Linked DNA regions of Caenorhabditis elegans. The protein of the gene in region 2 binds, or shares a complex with, the protein of the main gene of each other region. Each region holds a gene or a part of one and is shown on either strand. Other genes may lie near its edges.

The links. The genes of interacting proteins can lie anywhere in the genome.
Region 1: cdk-8 (region 2) and mdt-31 share a complex: the UniProt entries of both Caenorhabditis elegans proteins name them as parts of the mediator complex.
Region 3: cdk-8 (region 2) and sop-3 share a complex: the UniProt entries of both Caenorhabditis elegans proteins name them as parts of the mediator complex.

What each region holds. Positions count from the first base shown.
Region 1 is NC_003279.8:8,962,245-8,967,501, forward strand, and holds mdt-31 (Mediator of RNA polymerase II transcription subunit 31), read left to right. Parts: upstream 1-3,869; 5' UTR 3,870-3,885; coding exon 3,886-3,913; intron 3,914-4,052; coding exon 4,053-4,154; intron 4,155-4,261; coding exon 4,262-4,426; intron 4,427-4,476; coding exon 4,477-4,718; 3' UTR 4,719-4,757; downstream 4,758-5,257. Other genes in the region: snpc-4 (snRNA-activating protein complex subunit 4 homolog), read left to right, coding at 106-183, 233-832, 905-1,131, 1,177-1,366, 1,487-1,771, 1,850-2,062, 2,132-2,286, 2,342-2,411 and 5 more; spd-2 (Spindle-defective protein 2), read right to left, coding at 4,851-5,181, 5,229-5,257. UniProt on the Caenorhabditis elegans protein: Component of the Mediator complex, a coactivator involved in the regulated transcription of nearly all RNA polymerase II-dependent genes.
Region 2 is NC_003279.8:8,698,618-8,708,056, forward strand, and holds cdk-8 (Cyclin-dependent kinase 8), read left to right. Parts: upstream 1-3,848; 5' UTR 3,849-3,944; coding exon 3,945-3,949; intron 3,950-3,998; coding exon 3,999-4,238; intron 4,239-4,362; coding exon 4,363-4,550; intron 4,551-4,601; coding exon 4,602-4,698; intron 4,699-4,747; coding exon 4,748-4,883; intron 4,884-4,929; coding exon 4,930-5,051; intron 5,052-5,101; coding exon 5,102-5,200; intron 5,201-5,581; coding exon 5,582-5,741; intron 5,742-5,789; coding exon 5,790-5,873; intron 5,874-5,927; coding exon 5,928-6,143; intron 6,144-6,191; coding exon 6,192-6,287; intron 6,288-6,737; coding exon 6,738-7,061; 3' UTR 7,062-7,208; downstream 7,209-9,439. Other genes in the region: tlf-1 (TATA box-binding protein-like 1), read right to left, coding at 1-267, 1,178-1,456, 1,503-1,598, 1,646-1,882, 2,142-2,257, 2,724-2,805, 2,910-3,020, 3,100-3,226 and 1 more; cle-1 (Fibronectin type-III domain-containing protein), read right to left, coding at 7,369-7,437, 7,549-7,652, 7,702-7,784, 8,457-8,761, 8,811-8,942. UniProt on the Caenorhabditis elegans protein: Component of the Mediator complex, a coactivator involved in regulated gene transcription of nearly all RNA polymerase II-dependent genes.
Region 3 is NC_003279.8:2,773,102-2,779,568, reverse strand, and holds the start of sop-3 (Mediator of RNA polymerase II transcription subunit 1.1), read left to right. Parts: upstream 1-3,467; 5' UTR 3,468-3,486; coding exon 3,487-3,624; intron 3,625-3,674; coding exon 3,675-3,808; intron 3,809-3,867; coding exon 3,868-3,955; intron 3,956-4,002; coding exon 4,003-4,145; intron 4,146-4,147; exon of another isoform or gene 4,148-4,184; coding exon of another isoform or gene 4,185-4,322; intron 4,323-4,374; coding exon of another isoform or gene 4,375-4,656; exon of another isoform or gene 4,657-4,657; intron 4,658-6,467. Other genes in the region: Y71F9B.13 (NADH dehydrogenase [ubiquinone] 1 beta subcomplex subunit 7), read left to right, coding at 921-1,052, 2,120-2,421, 2,471-2,582, 3,020-3,136; Y71F9B.1 (uncharacterized protein), read right to left, coding at 4,185-4,322, 4,375-4,656. UniProt on the Caenorhabditis elegans protein: Component of the Mediator complex, a coactivator involved in the regulated transcription of nearly all RNA polymerase II-dependent genes.

The DNA.
Region 1 (5,257 bases), 260 kb from region 2:
TTTAAAATATTGAGACACGTGTTATGATTTTTTGTTTCTCGTTTCCGCCGATATGTCCCTTGAATGTAACCTTTCAGTAATTAAACAAACCTAGAAAACCACGGTATGTCGGATTTGGTAATGTTTGAGCCAGGAGCAAGTACGAGTACGGATGTGCCCACAAATACGGATCAAACTGCAATGGTATGGCTTTTATAACTTGGGTTGTATAATGTATCTAAAATTGTTTCAGTCGACAACACAAGTGGTTGATGCACTCGAATGTGACACTTTCGAAGGGCTCATGAATGTCAATGAAACTTATGTGGAAATCTTGGATTCGGCTCTTCTTTCTGTTCAGCAACATTTAGACGACAATTTAAAGCGACAACAACAATTGAAGGAGGAATATCGTTTGTACAATCGTGCTGACATTACAAAACGCAAAGTTCCCGTTCACTTGTATATGCCACCATATTTTAAAGATGATAATAACATGTACCCACCAATGAGCTCAGAGGCTCGCGAAAAGCAAGTCTTAAAATGGTTCGACCCAATGATGAAAGAGGAGAAAAAATGGACACCATCTGAAATAAAAACACTCCGGACATCTGTTAAAAACGCATTGGTGGCTCATCAGGTTCAACCGTGGTGTTCTAGACGAGATATCGTTGCCTCAAAACTTCGAGACGCTGATATCACTACATCGAATTTCGATCGACGTCAATGGACTATGGAGCTGGAAGATTTGATGAGAAAAATTGCCTATGTTCGAGAAAAAAGTGAAGAAGAAGTATTGACTGCTTCGGCTGATTATACCGTTGTTCCATGGACTGCAATAGCCAACTTCGACGTATGTTTAAACTTTCATTAATTCAAAAACTTCCTGTTTGTGAAGTTTAATTAAATAAAACTATTATTTCAGTTCAAAGGCTCTAGAACGGAATGGGCGGTGAAATCGAAATGGTACAATGAATTGAATCCAAAGTGGAACAAAGAACATTGGTCAAATGAAGAAGTAGAAAAGCTGAAATACCTTCGAGAAAGTCCAAAGTTTGTCTCCTGGCCGATGCTGGCTCTGAATCTCGGTACAAATCGAACATCTTATCAATGTATGGAAAAGTACAAAACCGAAGTGTCTCAACATTCAAAGTGAGAAGCTCGTTTTCAAAATGTGTGTAATTTTGAATATTTCAGAGAATGGTCTCAAGACGAAGACACCAAGTTAATTGCGCTCACAAAAATTACATCGATCAACGGACATATTCAATGGGATAAAGTTGCACAATGTATGCCTGGAAGAACTCGTCAACAAGTCAGAACTAGATTCTCGCATACTCTCGATGCATCGGTTAAGCATGGAAGATGGACTGATCAAGAAGATGTGGTATGTATAATTAATGTAAATTAGCAGTAAAAACATCATTCCACGATTATTGTGTGTTGGAAATTTAAAACATTCATATTTAGATTTAAATTTTAAGCAATTAACAAACATATCGTTTAGCTTCTTGTCTGTGCAGTTTCACGATATGGAGCAAAAGATTGGGCAAAAGTTGCTCAGGCGGTGCAAAATCGTAACGATTCTCAATGCCGCGAACGCTGGACGAATGTGTTGAATCGTTCAGCTCATGTCAACGAACGGTTCACGCTGGTTGAAGACGAACAACTTTTGTATGCGGTAAAAGTATTTGGAAAAGGAAATTGGGCTAAATGTCAGATGCTCTTGCCAAAAAAGACATCGAGACAGTTGAGAAGACGATATTTGCAGTTAATTGCAGCCAAGTTGAGAGTGAGTTTTTTGGTTTTATTGTGAAAAATCTTTTTAAAAATTCACTTAAATAAAAGCAATGATTAATAAAAATTTCAGTTGGCTGCCGGATTCTGCAACGCGGTCGATGCCATGAAATCCGGAAGACGTGCTCCTGAAGAGGACGAGCTGGAGCAAGAAGATATTGTGGAAGCGGAGCAGATTCCAAATGAACTCATGAAAGAAGTTTATGAGAAATTCGCCAACGAAAATCCGGATATGAATGAGACTCCCGAAGAATTTTACAAACGTGTATCTGCCTTGGAGAGACCAGTAAGATCAAAAATAAATTTTTTAAAACTCATATTTTTATTATTACTATTATTATTATTATTATTGCAGGCCGCCGCTAGAATTCGAGCTCTGAAGAATAAGCCGGATTATCAAAAAATCCAAGATAAAATCAACGAAATTGTTCAAAAGCACAAAAATGCAGCCGAAATCGACAAAGAACTACACTCCAGTGAAATTCTCTCATCGCTCACAATCACGGAAGTGTTAGTTGAAAACCAAAAAAAAAACACCATATTTTAATTACATTTTGTTTTTCAGTGATGTTCGTTACATGATAGAAAGAAGCAAGACTTTGACGCGTTACTACGAGGCTCGACAGTTTAGAAAGGTAAATTAATTGTACAGAATATTAACCCATTGAAAAATGTTCAGAACGTGGATCAAATCGGATGTCGTGTTCGTCCGATTAAGATCGATTTGGATCCAGAAACAATGCCAACATTTGATCCAAATGATGCTGAAGATGAAAAGCAAATGGTCATTGTGGAGTCGTTGTGCTCTGTAATTCGTGCTCACGACGTAAAAGAATGGGGCACTAAGTTTTGGAATGAACATCGCTTCACAGCGCCGAAATACGCTAAAAGATTTGTGGAGAATGTGAGTCAGAATAGAGAAAATAAAGTTTAATGAAAATTCACATTAAAATTCTCACAGATGGTCATAAACAAGTCAAAAGAAGTCGCTGAATGGTATTTACATGTTAACTCAAAGTCATGCAATCAAAATGATGTACATTGCCCAGCCAAGTCAACTCTTCCTCCGACTGCTGCATCATTCGATCTTCACAAAATGCTTCAAAAAGCCCGTTCTGGATTGAATCGTCTTTCTGCTGAACACTTTTACCCTCTTGATGTCTCTCTGGCTCAACAATTCAACTTCAAAAACGACGAGAGAGAGGGCCTCGACGGAGACAGACGTATGCATATCGGGTTGTCTGATGAGGTCACCAATAGTAAAGAGTATGCGAATTTTTATGTAAGTGAATATATTATATTCTTATTTTTATTTTTGATAATTTTTCAGGCTCGAATGCGTTCGATTCTTCTCGAACCAATGCGTCTTGGAATTGCTCGTGAATCGTCGTCTGATGAAACCAAGCGGCTTGTGCGCTGTCTTGCAGAGGAACGCGCCTGCGATGAAGAACAACAAGTTACCTGTGACCAAATAAGACGACGCCGGATGCCTGATGACGAGATCTATGTTACTCCAACTTCAATCTCTAGAGAACTAAATGTAAAGTTTTTTGCGTTGTCTCCACTGCTAGACGTTGTTTTTTTTCAGAACGGCATGAAAATCGATACCACCGAGTTGTTGGCTAATCTGGACAAGAATTCTGCGAAGAAAATCAGAATGAAAAGGAAGATTGGAGAGGTGAGATGTGACACTAAAATTAAACTTTTACCCCTAGTAATCCTTGCGGTACTATTATCTATATTTTTCTCATAGTCCTCAATGAAACAGTATATTTTTCAGACCGTTGCGACAGTTGCAGCGCGTCCTGCTCGTCCACCGCGTTCATCTGCAGGTACACCCACTCCAAGTCACGTCTCGATCGATACGGAGAGTAATATTTCGCTCAAAGTGGAGTTAGATTGAATATTCTATTATTGAACAATATAACTATTTTACCCAACTCTATGTCATCCTCTCCTGTGCAGTTTTACATCACTTTTTTAAACTGAACCCATTAAAAGTTGATCTCCTAAGATTATTTCACTTTTGTTTTATTAACAATCTCAGCTCTTTATGAACACCATCTGTTAAATTTGTTTTTCTTTTTCTAATAAAATGGTTTTATAGGCATGGGTCGTTTTAGTTTCAATCGATACGGTATGTTTCCATTGGAATAATATATTTAACTCATTTCGTAGTACGGATTTCACCGTATAGGTGAAAAAAGGTCATAATATCAAAATTTTGTAAATTTCTGTAATTTTTCGAAGCTTGAATTCCATTTTTTTTTCTTCAGGCTACAATACAATGCAGATGGAGAGTGTAGAAAGTGAAAAGACGAGATTTGAAGTTGAATGTGAATTCGTGCAGGCTCTTGCAAATCCAAATTATCTTAATTGTGAGTTTATTCACATACACTAGCCGAGAATAGAGAAAAACGTATTTTTATTCTAAGTTTCTTGTTTTTTTATGCACTCTTTTTCCTGCAAATTTCATATTTTCCAGTTCTCGCGCAACGTGGTTATTTCAAAGAAGAATATTTTGTCAACTATCTCAAATATCTTCTCTATTGGAAAGATCCTCAATATGCCAGATGCTTGAAATTTCCTCAATGTCTGCACATGCTTGAAGCACTGCAGAGTCAGCAATTTCGCGATTCGATGGCTTACGGTAGTTCAAATTTTATTTAATCTATCAGAAGAATAGTAACTTATTTTCAGGACCAAGCGCGAAATTCGTAGAAGATCAAGTGGTTCTCCAATGGCAGTTTTATCTTCGGAAACGGCATCGTTTGTGTATGATGCCTGATGAGGGACAAGAGCTTGAAGAATCTGAAGATGAAGCTGATATTCGACAAAAGGACACAGAGGATGAAGATGATGAGGAAACGATGAAGAAACCGGATGCTGACACAGCCGAAAAGAATTCCACAACTTCTACCGTTTCAAAGAAAGAAAAATAAACATAAAAAATGTAAATCAAATAAAACTTCATCACCACTTTATTGAAATTGAAACCTACATTTTACAGAACCGTGAATTTTTTCGAAGCCTGGACAGAAATCAGAGAATATTTGGAAAGTTAGGTTAAGATTTTACTTTCTATTCGAAAATCTTGTATTGGGAACAATTGTAACGTCGTTGACAAATGTCTGATTACGGAAAGCTGTTGTCTCGAGTAGAGTAGAGTCGTCGTTGCTGCATATCTCTTTCTTCTTCCGGCTTGTAGCAGCACGGAATTCAGTTGTAGAAGTGAAAAAATTGATGAAGAAACTACGATAAGAAGCAGCGAACAGATCACGGTCCTCGGGCTTGATAGCGGGGAATCCAACTGGAACAGCACGAAGAACTTCTTCATCGGAAAATTGGAAAGATGTGAAGTCATGACCATCGATTAGTTGATGCTGTCCTGTGCGAACTTCTAGCCTAAATAATTTCAAATGTAATACCATTTCATCTGTATTCAAATTAACAATCGAAGTCTGGTTCGCATGGTTTCTTC
Region 2 (9,439 bases):
TCCTTTGGCTCGTTCGAGACATCGGAATTCTAGAACAATTGGATAGATCTTTGAGAGTACTTCGAGAACATCGGCTTCCGATTGAGCTCCAGTGACTGTAATTGAGCCAGTCGTATGAATTCGAAGAGTAGCTTTTGGTGTCACAGATCTCCAAACAAGACCAACGGAAAGTTCAGGCTCATATGTGGATTCTGATGGATATTTTGCTGCGACTTCTTCGATTTTGATTCCGAATGGAAGACGGCACGTGGCCAGAACGTTGTTCACCTAAATTCCACATAAACTTAATAATTAGATAAATATTTTAAAGTTGCAAAATTTTATGGTATTGACAAACACACAAAAACGGTATCGCGCGTGGTGTCAGAATGTCCCATCACAGTCTGATCTACAAAAAATGAAACGTGACGTAGAGTTTCCAACTGGTGTCGCACGGTTAAGAATGTGCTGACGTCACACTTTTCTGAGCAAAAATACCCGCACTTATTGTAGATCACACCGTGATGGGACAACCTGACTCTACGTGGTATCGTAATTTTTTTTTTCAAATTTTGAAATGGCTCTTTAAAGGCTCACGACTTTCTTCAGATGGGTCTCGACGCGCAAAAAGTTTATTGTAGTCTTTTTCTTCAATGTTTGCGTTTTTCAATGAAACTGCACGGTTTTCAGCTTTAAAAAAAAATTCTGTTAAAAAATCTGTTTCCAAATGGGGGCACCACGGTTTCAAGATCTGGTGGATTCCGGTTCTACGTTTTCCAGATCTGGCACCAAAACGTAGATCCGGAACCCCACCAGATCTTGAAACCGTGGTGCCTCTCCAAATGTTCAAACTTCAAAAAAAAAAGAAAGATTACCATAAACATTTTGCGTGCCGAGACCTTTCTGAATAAATCCGTGCGCCTTTAAAAAGGCATGTAAAAATCTGGTGAAACTACGATACACGGTCAAATAATTTTAGTACACTAGTTTGCACGACTGACATTTTTACACTTTTCTTCAATTTAATTTAAATTTACAAGTAATAACTTTAACAAAAATGAAACATCTTTAAAAGAAAAAAAAACAAATCGGAAATGGCGGAAGCTACTGTACTTCTTGAAGGCGAACTTTTTTTAAATATTTTTTTTTTAATAGATAAATTTTTTTAATAGATAAATTGAAACTTTTCAAAACTTGCTCGATAATTTCTAATCGAAACTCGTTCTTTCGTTTTTCCCATAACTCGCTGAACATGTCTGGCAATTGAACGTGCAGCTCGTTTACAATCCGCCTCACTCCGGCAACCAACAATATATACTTTTCCAGAACTATATACTTTGATATAACAACCAGGCGATCTTTTTTGTTTCATCATTACTCCTTTTTCTCTTTCATATGTCACGTTATGAGTGTTCATTGCCAATTTTCGAAGATCAATGTGCAAAGGGAGTGTATAATTACAAACAACATTTCGAATCTGGAATATTTTCAAGTTTTGATGATTGATTGCTGTTAGAAAGTACCTGAATATCGATATCACCATCATCTGGCATTGGTTCCTCATTGGCAGCCGATGTACCTTCTGGAGGAACATCTGGAACCTCAATTTTGACAGGAATCTGAAAAATGTAGATATGAAACATGAAAATGTACATTCATCTGTTACCGGCTCAGGTGAGGGTTCTCTCAGTGGCACTGCCAAATTCATGTCACGCGGCACATAAATCTGCGGATGTGGCTGCTGAGCATGGTGTTGGGCCATCTGATGACGTGTCATTTGTGGTTGAACCATTTGATGTTGCTGATTATGGTGCATTTGTGGTTGACGATGTTGCATAATCATTTGATTTTGTTGAGAAGGATGATTAAAATGTTGTGGTTGCTGGTGGTGTTGTTGTTGATTCTGTAATATCCTCTGATTAATTTTGGTGAATATATCTGAACCAGCCGTGGACCGCACCTACGGCGCGGCCCCCGACTTTTTTGAGAAAACACATTAGATATACGGTGTCTATCGCGGACCTCGATCGATGTCTGTTGCGCATTTAGCATAAGGTTTCCCAAAATTTCGTTGCTCTGATCAGAGATCAAACTACATAGGGACAGAAGGACACGCGCTTTATATATAGTAAATGATAGTAAATGATAATCATGAAACATACCTGTTGTTGTTGTCGATGTTGTGCTTGCGCATAGCTTATCTGTTGTTGTCCTTGCTGATTTTGTGCCATAAATACAGCTCGATTTTGTTGTTGAATTTGATTTGCTACTTGCTGTCCTGGAATTAAATTTAAAACTCTTTTCAGTTTTTCAAACAAGAATGTCTTATACAACACGTAATGTGAGACCCAACACACGAGTTTGAAATTTTCCAGAATTATTTTGATTGTTTTCGATTTTTTTTTGTTTGCAAAAACAGTGAAAATTTAATCAATATTTAATTTTTCCTTTTGGAAAATATGTGAAACTTCAATCGTTCAAAAATCAGAAATCGAGTTATTCGAAATGTAAATGTAGAGTTAATTTGTGTCTAGAATATTATTCCAATAAAACAATTAATTATTGCAGAAACATATACGCGATTCTAGATATACGTAGTACTTGTATTCTATTGATAAAACACACGGCATCCGGAGACCGTAAATAAATTGAAATAAAACCGATTTAAAAAAAAAAATATTTTGTTTTGAATAACATCAATTAAATATTGACTATCAATTTTCTAAATAAAATTAAAAACTTACTCTGATAACCTTGTTGAACGTTATGTCCTTGCACAGGTCGCATTTGAACACCAACTGCAACATTTCGACCCGCTATCGTTCCCTGCAATTTCTTTTGAAAAATTAAAATAGTTTCGTGAATTTGAAATTTTGTTTCAATTCTTAGAATTTGTTATGTTGATTGAGAAACTGATAATAAAGACTTACTGGATGTCCAAAGTTTACTTGCATTGGTTGACCACCAGGAACTTGGCGAACATAGGCAGGACCGACACCATTTTGCTGAATCTGACGTACTCCCGGGGGTAGTTGAACTATCTGAAATAAACTTTAATTCATAAATTCAAGCATATGTCTTGTCTCGAACAAAATTTGATTATATTCTTCAAAATCTCACCCTCTGCTGTCCGTTTCCGTCGTGATGAACCGTTCGAATTCCTGCCGTTTGCACATACGTGGCATTTTGTGATACTGCACCACCAGCTTGTGCAGGCATCACTTTTTGAACGTAAGTTCTGTAATATCTTTCGAGTGTTGTTATTGGATTTCTTGATCCAAATAACTAAAACTGAACAAGCTATTTTTTAATTCAACTCATACCTCTGGTTTCCCATCATTTGATGATCACCCATTTGCATTTGAACTGATCGGCCTGTAAATTTGAGTTGTTATCTTTTGAAAACTCGACAAATGCTAAAATCTGCAACAACGAGAGAGCGAGACTTCGTGAGAACATAAGAATTTTTTGATTTATGTTAGAAAATTCTGGAAAAGTTAAGAAATATTTATTTCCGACGACCAGTTTATTTTAAATTCAGACAAAATAATATCCAAAATACAATATTCGGTTTGTTCATTCTAAACTGATTTGAGGCAAACGCGGTTACAGGATCGATTGAAAGCGTTATTCGCTGCCAAACCAGAGTATCCTCTCTGAATGTGCATTCCTCCTAGTTATTTGTCTGTTAGACATGTGGCATTTATTGATTAGTTAATTTATTGATTTTTCAGTCTTAACGCTGTGTTCTTTGGGAAGAAGAAGTGACGTTCGGCGAGAATTTGCCACAAGAAAAAGTGCTAGAAAACGAAGACCGACGAAGATGTCGTGATATTTGGTGTTTAGTACGTGGGTGCAGTGTTTGCGGACTTCCTTACCGTACACTTCAATTTTAATTTTCGTTTTTCTGGACATCGATTTTCCTGGCATAAAGACTGAGTAGTATTCGCTGTAGTAACTGAAAAATGACGTAAGTTGGAAATTTGCACTATAAATAAATCAGAAAATCCCTATTGCAGATTAATGATTGATGAAAACTTCAAAAAACAATTGGCACAGCGTCGAGAGAGAGTAGAAGACCTTTTCTACTTTGAAAATTCAAAAGAAATCGGCAGAGGAACATATGGATTAGTTTATAAAGCAGTTCCGAAAAAGCAAAATGGACAATTTCCTAACAAAGAATACGCATTAAAAATGATTGAGGGACAAGGATTTTCAATGTCTGCATGCAGAGAAATTGCTCTATTCAGAGAATTAAGGTAATTTCACCGATTAAATAATATTAATTTAAAATGAAGATTGAATTCGAGATTTTCCCCTTTTTATAATCTAAAATTCGAAAAAAAAACTGAAGTAGATATTCAAAAAAAAAAAATGTTTCAGGCATCCGAATTTAATCTGTCTTCAACGTGTATTTCTTACCAACGAAAAAAAAGTCTGGCTTTTATTGGATTATGCTGAACACGATCTCTGGCACGTTATCAAACATCATCGAACAGCTAAAAGCAAGAAAGTCCCAATTATGGTGCCACGGAATATGGTCAAAAATATATTGTTTCAAATTTTATCAGGTTTGAAATTCTAAAATCCAATTTCACTCAACTGTATTTTAAAATATTCAGGAATGCATTATTTACATTCAAACTGGGTACTACATCGAGATCTCAAACCAGCAAATATTCTATTAATGGGTGATGGACCACCTGACATGAGAGGAAGGTTTGACTGAATTTGAAATTTATGCGATAATATGAAATAATAATTCTAGGGTAAAAATTGCTGATTTGGGATTTTCAAGAATCTATGCAAATCCTCTGAAACCGATGGCTGAATTAGATCCAGTAGTTGTCACATTCTGGTACAGAGCACCTGAATTGCTTCTCGGAGCAAAGCATTATACAAAGGTACGTTGAAAAATCTATTTAATAAGGAAAAAATGCATAATCTCAGGCTATTGACGTATGGGCTATCGGATGCATTTTTGCCGAACTTCTTACCGCTGAACCATTATTTTTCTGTAAAGAGGAAGACATCAAGGCACAAAATCCATATCACTATGATCAAGTGAAAAGGTACAGATTTTTTGGAAATTAAAATCATTAACTATTCGAAATTTTTAAAGAATATTCCATCTACTCGGATACCCATCAGATGCTGATTGGCCTGATATGAAGAAAATGCCGGATCATCAAAGACTTCTAAGCGATGCTAGAAATGAAGGGTAAATTATAATATAAAAGTTTTCAAATTTATTTTGATAGATTACTTAAAGGCACATTATTTTTTTCAGTAGCGTGAATGGCTTCAATGAAACCGAATTAGTCTCAAATTAGGAAATACCACAAAAAAAGGAAAAAAAAATCGCGAAAGAATTAAAAATCCAAGATTAAAAAACGAGTCGCTGATTGGTCGCAGTTCTCATTTAGGTGGCAATTCAAACAATTGAAAATCGCGATTTCAAAAGTTGGTTTTTCATTCTTGCGATTTTTTCCATTTTTTGTGGCATTTCCGAATTTGAGAGAATTTCGGATGTGTGAATTTGTATTGCAATATATAACGGCTTTAAAAAAGTTTTACATAATTATAAATAAACAATTTTCAGAACACCAATTCAAACATTTCCAAACAGCTTGCATCGATACTTTGATAAATGGAAAATCAATTCACAAAGCTCTCCATATAGATTACTTGTCAAATTGCTCACAGTTGACCCTACAAAACGTGTCAGTTGTGAAGAAGCGATGAATGATATTTATTTTAGAGTTCGTTTGAAATTTAATTTGAATAATATTTGAAAAAACCATTTGCAGAAAATGGAAAGACCACCAAGGGAGACTGACGACGTGTTCAATAAATATCCAATTCCATACGCGAAGAAGGAACAGCAGATGACGGTAAGGGCATCAATTGTTGAATACACTGCAAATGTTCCCAAGATTCTTTTACAGGTTGCACCAGATCAAGCACAACAACAGCATCAACAACAACAAGTTCAAATGCAACAACAACCACAAATGGGACAGCAACAAATGATGGGACAACCTCAAATGGTACAACCTCAGATGGGACAACCACCAATGGGTGGAGCACATCCCGGAGTTGTTGCTCCAGATGGACATCCACATCAAATGATGCAGCAACAACAGCATCCACAACAGCATCATGTCAGTTTTCTAAATATTCAGAATGAAAAGTTAACTTTTTCTGTTCAGATGCAATATCAAGGAATGCATGATCCAATGCAAGGTGGAATGGATGAAGGACCACAAGCAAAAATGATGAGAATGGGAAATGTTCCTGTTGGAAGAGTAAGCTTTTTAATTAGAAAATAATAATAAAAAACATAACATGGCTGAATATCATAATTAAGGATTTCAAATTTTCAAAGTTTTTGTAAATTTCCAAATTTCGCAAATTTTGATAGATTGATTGTTGAATTTGCAAATTTTTGTAAAATGATTTATAATTTTTTTGTTGGTAAATTGCCAAACTTTCAAAAATTGAAATTTCTTGAAATATTCGTTAATCGTTGCAAAATAGTAGATAGAAACTAATTTTGATAATTTTTGGTTTATTTCCAAATCATGGTAGATGAAGTAATTTTCACTTTTTACTGTAGGTAAAACTATTTTGAAAAATTGTTGAAAAGCGTTACTAGGATATTGGGTCATTTTAAGATCATAGGAGTGATTTTCATCATTTTTCCCTATGGCAATACTCCACTTTTCAAATTCTTATGTTCAATTCTACAATTGCAGTATGCACCGATGCCTCCTCCATACGGTGCTCCACAAGACTATCACCCGCAACAAGGTCCACCAATGGTGCAAATGATGCAACAACCGGGACCATCCGGCTACTATCCACAACGACCAGGACAACCAACAGGAGCAGTTCCTGGACCAGGACCTCAAGGATATATGAATCCACAAATGGGAATGCAAATGGGCATGCGTGCTCCAGGAGTTCCACCACAAGGATATATGCCTGGTCGTGGAATGGCTCCCCCTCAAATGGGACAACAGCAACCCGGTCCAAATCAACAGCAACAACAGCAATGGCAACAACAATATCATCGATAAACATTTCATTTGTAACATGTATGTATCTATAGTACTCACATCAAACTAATATTGCTCGTCATGTGTAATTTGAAGGCTTTGTAAATTGTATTTTTTTGAAATACGTTCACAATAAAATTGAGAAAATACGTGGCAGTTATCAAAATCAAATTCGGAAAGATTTTTTTGGTTTAATTCAAAATAGAAAACAAAGCAAAATGAGTGAATGAAGCCGTTTTTCAGGGGGGGTTCGAGATTTTTTCATCGTAAGGTTGGGGTATAATCATTTAAAACAATTTTAAAATTGAAATTCTATATTGGAAGTCGTTCATTTTTTGAAGTCGGATGTGATTCGATGCAAGCGGAGAATTCGGTCACCGTGATACTTGGACATGTTCTGCAAACATTTTAATTTTAAGATTTTAAAGCTGTTTGGAAATAATATTTCTTTTTCTCTGATGGTCTCACAACGATCGTTTGAACACTTCAATTTAAATAAAAAACGAACCTCAACACACAATACCACTAATTTATTTTCACATTTTTCGGATCCACTTGATTGGAAAATGCTTGTATTCGATGAGATGTGACCTGCCAAAGAAGTCAGAGATGCTGCAATAAATTATATTCTAAAAATTGTCTTCAATTTCTCAAAAATTACAATCGGCTCTTCTCCATCCATCACAGTATTGTTCAGCTCTTATTCCACCATCTTTGGATCCATGCCAAACTCGCTTATCTGGCCTGAAATTAAGGAACTTGTTGAGTCTGAATTTGTTTGTTATTATGAGTTTGACATTATTCTGATTTTTGATACCGTATTCCTTCTACCACCATATATTCTCTATTAGAACCCAATTACTTGACTTTAATTAATTATATCTGGGTTCATTTGGAAGATATTAACAGATAATCATCTGCAAAGATGTAGAAAAATAATTAAGAAATATTTTGACAGTGACAACCTTTGAATTGAACAAACGACAACTGAAAGTTGAACAATTGGGTGCAACAGTAAAAGAGATTATACTGTAGTCTTGCATATTACTCCTTTGGAAACTTTTATCTCGGTGAATTTCACAGATATTAAACAAATAGTTACAACTACAAAACTATAGAGGAAAAAATAACAAAAATTTTATCAGCTGATTAAAAAAAAACAAAATAAAGAAAACGGTTAGTTCATTTTTTATTGATAAAAATTAACAGCTTTCAATCAACATCTACAGCTCTGAATTTTGAAATTATCTTACTTATACTTCCGACCAATTTCTACAATTATCTACTGTAAATTGACAACATTTCGATGTCACTAATAAGCTTAAAAGAAAAATAAAGATAGGCCCTACACGTTTCCGTTCTGTTTTAACTTGTGTCAACAAAACTCTGTTGGTACTAAAAGTTATTCCAACTGACCATCTAGAATCGTTGAGCACATCATGTCTATCGAATGAGAAAAGTTTGGCATGAGGATTCATTTGTGCTCCATTGACAAATGATCTCCAACTTGGGAACAAATGATGTCCAGCAACATTCACAACAGTTGTGTCAAAATCAACGGAATGCACAATTCTAACCAAATCCTGTACATTACTCGAAAGCATTGCACGGAATGTTGTAGTATATCCAGCTGCACGAGCTTCACGATAACATTGAAGATCTGCTCCTCGGAGCCCGTGAAGATTACCAGAGAATGGTTGTGACAGGGCAATCATATGAATCTGAAAATACTTTGAAAAATAAATTCTTATAGAAATTCAGAATACTAACAACTCGATCTTTATTATGAACTCCCGCATCTCTCTGTGGTTCATCAAGATTTGCTTTTGGGTACCATGGAGCAGCTGCTGATCCAGTTCTTGATCTTCCCGCGTGACTTGCATCGTTTTGTCGAGAGTTTTGCTGTAAAAGTTGTAACTAAAAAGTAGTATAGAATACATATATTTGTGCTGCACAGCTGCTTCACAGGACTTTTACAAAAACCTATTGAAACTATTGAAAACCTAGGTAAAATGAAAGAAATATGTGATAAGTGATAAGGGAGAATGGGGGCTAAACTAAATGACTAAAGGATGTGAATAGCTGATGTTGTAGTGGTGATTCCTATTTGTAGCAACATGACTAATATCCAAAAGTTACATTTGAATTACGCGGGTGTCGCGATGAACATTTATGACCATTTTGACGGCTCTGAGAGGATATCAAGGTTTGAATCTTTTTGGAAAACATATTTAATTAAGATGGACGGCAAGTTGTGAAGGTTCATTGGTTTGCTCAATCCAACAAGTTGTTTTGAAATTATTACTATCATCACTATACGAAATTTACGAGTGAATTATATTTGAAAGCAATTCAATTTCCCTTCACAATCAGCAGTAATAGTCAATTACAGTACACAA
Region 3 (6,467 bases), 5.9 Mb from region 2:
AGAACAAATCATGGAAAACATTTTGCCAGTTGATTTTTTTCTGTGAAAATTAAGAATAACCGAGATATAAGCTGTCGAACCGGTAGATGCACCATGTTCCTCGTTTTTCCCCATTCTACTTTGGCCGCTTATATCTTGGTTCATTAATAAGATATCTATAAATTTTAAACTGTAAAACTGTAAAATAAAACATGAGAAACATTTTGTCAGTTGATACTTTTTTGTGAAAATCAAAAATGACCGAGATATAAGCTGTCGAACCGGTCGATGCACCATGTTCCTCGTTCTACTTTAGCAGCTTATATTTTGGTTCTAAAACATTTTTTTAGTTAAAAACTTTAGGTTAAGATCAAAAGTAGCCAAGAAATAAGCCGCTGAAGTTTCGAGCAAGGCAATTTTTATAAGAAATTGCAGTAAATACCTTTTGGCTGGTTTTTGAAAAAAAAAAGTCGAAACACCATGTCTCTAATTTGAATTTACCGACTCTTGGCTACTATCTTGGATAATTTTTGTAATCATATCAATAAATTTTGAATTTCAACTTGTAGAAAAAATATATGACAATTAATTTTTAAATGTATTTATTATACGTATTTTTTATAAAGCCACAGTCAACATTTTTTGTCAATTTCCGTCAATTTGTAGTCTCGTAGTGTGTTCAAACCGTCTTCTCATCAAAAATTTGTGATTCTTAATCAATCGTTTCCCGTCTGATTACACCTTCTTCTCATCCTTTTTTCTATCATTCTTCTGTTTTTCTTTACCCATTACCTTATGATCTCCATTATTGTTCAATGGTCACTTTTTCGATTCAATCGCTTCCAAATCAAAATCTACTTTCAAAATTCCAGATGTTCAATCATCTCATATTAATTTTCTCATGCCACGTGGCACTGCTAACAGCAGCTCCATCCGCCAGAATGTGCGCCTCGTTCGCGAAATTCGCCGAACGATGGAATCCGCTTCCGGAGACACTGCTCTCGTGGTCCAAGAACAATTGTGACAAGGTTCAGCCAAGACCAAGGGATATGTCATGTGAAGATGTTGTACAGGTAGGTGGAGATTCGGAAAGGTCACGCCCATTTTTCTGTGCCCTGTAGGGCTGTACAACCGGACGTCCGGTCGTCCGAACCGGACGCACATGCGTCCGGTTGGGGGTAGCTATCCACGACGGCCGACAATTTCCGAGTTTCGCCACTCACTATAAAATTGCTGATTAAGTATAGTGAGTGGCGAAACTCGGAAATTGTCGGCCGCCGTGGAAACCTACCCCAAAACCGGACGCAGTGCGTCCGGTGGTGTCAAAATCGGACGACCGGACGCCGATTTGTACAGCCCTAGTGTCCTGAAGGCGAGCGGTCTGCTCCACGTTGTGCTCCGAATCGGGGAATCTTGATCGGGAGAATCTAAATCTGCCCATAGAACCTTGAACGTTGCGGAAAATTCAATTTTTGCCACGAGTCACACAAATATGGGAAATCTGAATTTTTGAGCTCAGATGGGCACAGTTTTGTGGGCGTGGTATTTACAGGGAACTCAGATATATGGGGAGCCAAGATCGTGTAAATTTACAAGGTGGATCTCCGTAAATCTACACAATTTTGGCTCTTCCCGCGCCACGCCCCTTGGGTCCCGATATGTATGCGTCTCTTCAACAGACAACTCTCTGCGGCTTTGTAATATTAGTTAGTCGCAATAACTTGCAATTTTTGTACCGAAAATACGGTACCCGGTCTCGACACAATCTACTTTTGTTGCTAAATTTCCAGCGATTTTTTTTTCGATAAAAATATATTATGAAAACTCTTAAACTTTGAAAAATCGTGAGAAAATCTATGGGAAATCGGTGAAACTACAGTAATCTTTAAAGGCGCACAGTTCATTTCCATTTAACCAATAATTCACGTGGTGTCAGGCTGTCCCATGACGGTTTGATCTACAAAAAATGCTGGAATTTTTCTCTCAGCACACTCTTAACTATGCGAAATTAGTTTAAAAGTCTGCGTCTCTTCTCCCGCATTTGGGGCACTTTGACACCACGTGATAATTGTCGTGTCAAGACTAAGTTATAATTCGCTGCGAGACTCGAAAAATGATGTGCAACCTTCCCAACTTTCAGTTCGTCGCGGACTGCAATTTCAGCGGCGGAGGCCCCGGGCCGGGAAAACTGGCGGACACCACCAACCGCCAGGTCGCCGACACATTCTACCAGAGGACCTACGAAAACTCGCCGAGAGTCCTGCCAAAGTATATCTACTATAATGAGAATACCGCCAGAGACTACGGGCAGTTCGGTAACTGGTACTACCCGAATTACTATCCACCAACTTATCTCGGATTCTTCGACGGACGGCCGGCAAGTATGGCACAGCTTGAGAATGATTATAAATTTGCAAAAGGTGGACATTATCCATATAACAGGTAAATTTAAATTTTTTTAAAATTAATAATAAAACTTGTTTTTTTTCAGAGCCGATAATATTGTGAACATTGGGCTTCAACAGACATATCTTCCAACTTGCCTTCACGACTTGTTCTACTGTGTTCGCGCCAGCAATGGGCAGAGACCCCAGGCGTATTTGGTAGGTGGCCTAGGACTCAAAAAAAACTAGGCCATCGATTTTTCGAATTTTTAAAGAAAAAAACCATGTATTTTTAGTTGAAAATCTCCTTTTTTTAATCTTTTCCACGGATTTCTGGCTTCCCTCATAAATTGAAATGGAAGAGTTTGCCGAACTAGGTCATTTAGGCTCGGCCATATCTGGCATAGATTTACGGAGCGTTGCGTGTCGCGTCGCGGCTCGATTTTAGTTGTAAAACTAAATGTATTTGCCCGTGTGGAGTACTTTCCCACGTGTTTTCCGGCAGGCGATTGTCAATGGAGCGCGAAAAATTCAATGAGGAAGGCCAGAACCCCGTGCGCACGTTTAATTTTGCAACGCTCGCGCCAAGACCTTTCCTCTCAATTGAGCTCAAACAACGTTTTTTTTTAAAAATCACATTTCCTTCTCTTTTTCAGAACTACAAAGAATACCGCCGTGACCGTGACCAGGCTGCTGAACAAATGGCCCAACGGGATCAAGATATCAAGACTCTCCGCCGCCACCGCACCAGACACCACGAGGATGATGAATAAATTGATTTTGTTTGTAGATTATTAATGAAACATGATGTATTTTTGTTAATAAAATATAACTTGAAAATCGATTTTTTCTGCAGAAAACCGGTTTTAAACCCTGAGACGAATTATCTAAATTCAAACACCCGCCAATTGATGCCAGTGGCTGTGGCCTAAAATCCGCCTGCTAAACAACACGCGCCGCGTTATAACGGAGTGTCGTTCGCAGCAAAACAAAATATTTTTTGCACCGATTTTCTATTTTAAACTGCATTTTTAATGGGTTTCTCGTTAAAATTTCTCAATTTTTATATTATTAAACAGCAAATAATTAAATATTTATCGATTTTCAGGTAGCGAAACCTACCATGATAATTGAAGAGAGGAAAAATCATGAGTTAAACCTGGAGTCGATCGATCGAGATTTGCGAATGGAAAATGTCCGCCAAAGCGCAGAAAAGCTGGGATGGGAGCATTTTGCGAGATCTGTCAGGAGGAATTTGCTGGTAACTGCAATCTCCACCGTTTTTCATTGAAAAAAAAATCAAATTTTCAGGAGAAAAGGCAAACACTCGATGCACGAACCCGTCTCGACGTTCTTGGCTCTCTGGTTTTTATGAAAGAGCATTTACCAATTGATAATGATGCTACTATTGCTCGAAAAGTTCAACAATTATCTGAAGGCCTAGGGTGAGTGCTTTTTTAAATTTTTTTTAAATTAAAAATTTTATAAATAATTTTTTTTTCAGAGAACATTGCGTGTTTTCAACTCAAAATAGTGGATTTTCAATCAGAAATCCTGATGTAACAATCGACATTGGTGTTGCAGAGGATCAAGTGCGTTGAATACGGGATTTTACCAAAACAATAAAGCTATCTTTCAGATTAGTACCTGCAAAATCGGTTATTTCGGTCAACCGCTCACTGATGCTCCAGGAGCTCTAGCTCTAATGAAAAATGGAGAATTCTCGAAGCTTCGCGATTCGATAACCGCGATTTTGTCCTCACTTCCGAAGGAAATTACATTGTAAAGCTAATAATATTTATTTTTCAGAGGAAAAGAAAACTAAAAATATGAAATAAAAGCGTAAAAACTAATGAGAGCGACAGCGAGAATAATCGAAGATCTGACATAATGCACCGGCTGGGAGATCTTATCCTGTGTGAGACGGATGAAGCTGATCAGCAGGGCTCCAAGGGCTACCTGGAACGATTTTTATTGAATCATTTAAGAATAAAAATCAATAATATATTACCGGCGGAAGGTTCTTGGCTTCTTCTTCCAAATCGATCGTCGGTATAGATTCCACAGAGGAGAACGTCCACAGCAGAAAACTCGTGTAGAGACCGCCGGCGACGATGGAGAGGGATGAGAGAGTGCGCCACGTGGCGTTCCGTGGAATTTGAATGATGGAGAGGATCGCCGGGACCAAGTAGACCGGCGTATAGGCCCACCAGGTCGGATTTCTCGAGATTTCGAGAAGGCCGTAAGCCAGAAGGCCCAAACCGAGAATTGATTCAGTGGCGCGGAGGAACATTCTAGAAAAAAACCATTTTTTGTGAAATTTTGATTTAAAGGTGGTGTAGTTGAGTTTTTTATTTCTTTATTAGACTCAAAATTGTCTGAAAACACCGAATTTGATAATGAAACTTCTTGAAAACTTTTCCAAAAAAAATTATGACGCTCAAAAAATGACCTAAAATTAGTGAAAATTTGAAGTTGACCAACTTATCATTGTCGCAGCGGCTGGAAACAATTTTTTTTTGAAATTGTCGTCTATTTTTGAGTAAACAAGTAGATTATCTTGCGTTTTAAGCTTTATTATGGTATTTAAAGTCGATGGACGAAGAGAATTGATTAAAAAAATTTGAAAAATCTCTTCGTCCATCGACTTTTAAATACCTTAATAAAACTGAAAACGCAAGATAATCTACTTGTTTACTCAAAAATAGACGACAGTTTCAAAAAAAAATTTGTTTCCAGCTGCTGCGACAAAGATATTTAAGTTGGTCAAATTTCAAATTTTCACTAATTTTAGGCCATTTTCGAGAGGCCATAACTTTTTTTTGAGAAGTTTTCAAGAAATTTCATTATGAAATTCGGTGTTTTCAGACAATTTTGAGTCTAATAAAGAAATTTTAAAAAATTCGACTACTCTACCTTTAAGTTATAGAAAATAGTTAAAAATATCTATTTTTCTATTCGATGTTCCTTTATATACAGCTATAAAAATTTTATATGAAACTTATTTAAAAATATAATATACAGGAAAATTTCCCTACAAAAACGAGAAAATAAAAAAATCAATGAAATTCAAACTATTTTAAAGCCAAAATTTCGATAAAAACGAGATTTTCTGTATTTTGAAGGTGGTTTTCAGAAAAAGAAAACGAATTTATGGATGAAAGTATGACCACTTCTGAATGTTTTTTTTTTTGTTGCAATAACTAGTTGTGAGAGACGCAGACGGACGAAGATATGTATGTTGTAGTTTTTGATAAGAGAGATGAAGGTCAAACAAGGGGAATATGATGATAATTACGATAAAACTGTTTTATTAGACTCAAAATGCGCGGGAACTTTGAAATTTCAGGGAAAAATTGCTGATTTTTGCTAGAATCTAGAATTTCACTGCAACTTTTTCCTCACGAGAGACGAGGAAAATTGGTTTCTAGGCCATGGCCGAGGGGCCGACAAGTTTCAGCGGCAATTTATCTTGCTTTGTTTTCCGCTTGTTTTCTTTTGTTTTTCACAGCCTTTTCCCGTTTTTTCTTATTAAAACTGATAAATAAATATTTTTTGCAGATGCCAAAACGATTTCCAAGTAAAAAAAAGTGTATTCAGTGGGCAAGCAGCGGTGAAAGTGGTCAATGGTCAAATATGATGGATTACGGGAATACAAAACCTAGACTTTTTCTGAAACATGATACATATGCTGCTTAAATGCTGAGACTACCTGATTTTCATAACGAGACCGCTGAAAAAGTTTTGAGGTTTCCAAAATTCAACTTTTTTGGTGAAAAAGTCGAGATTTTCGCACAAAAAGTTGAATTTTGAAAACCTCAAAACTTTTTCAGCGGTCTCGTTATGAAAATCAGGTAGTCTCAGCATTTAAGCAGCATATGTATCATGTTTCAGAAAAAGTTTAGGTTTTGTATTCCCGTAATCCATCATATTACAATGCCCACTTTCACAGCTGCTTGCCCACTGAATACATAATTTTTTCAGTTGGAAATTGTTTTAGCATCTGCAAAAAGTATTTATTTATCAGTTTTAATAAGAAAAAACGGGAAAAAGCTGTGAAAAACAAAAGAAAACAAGCGAAAAACAAAGCAAGATAAATGGCCG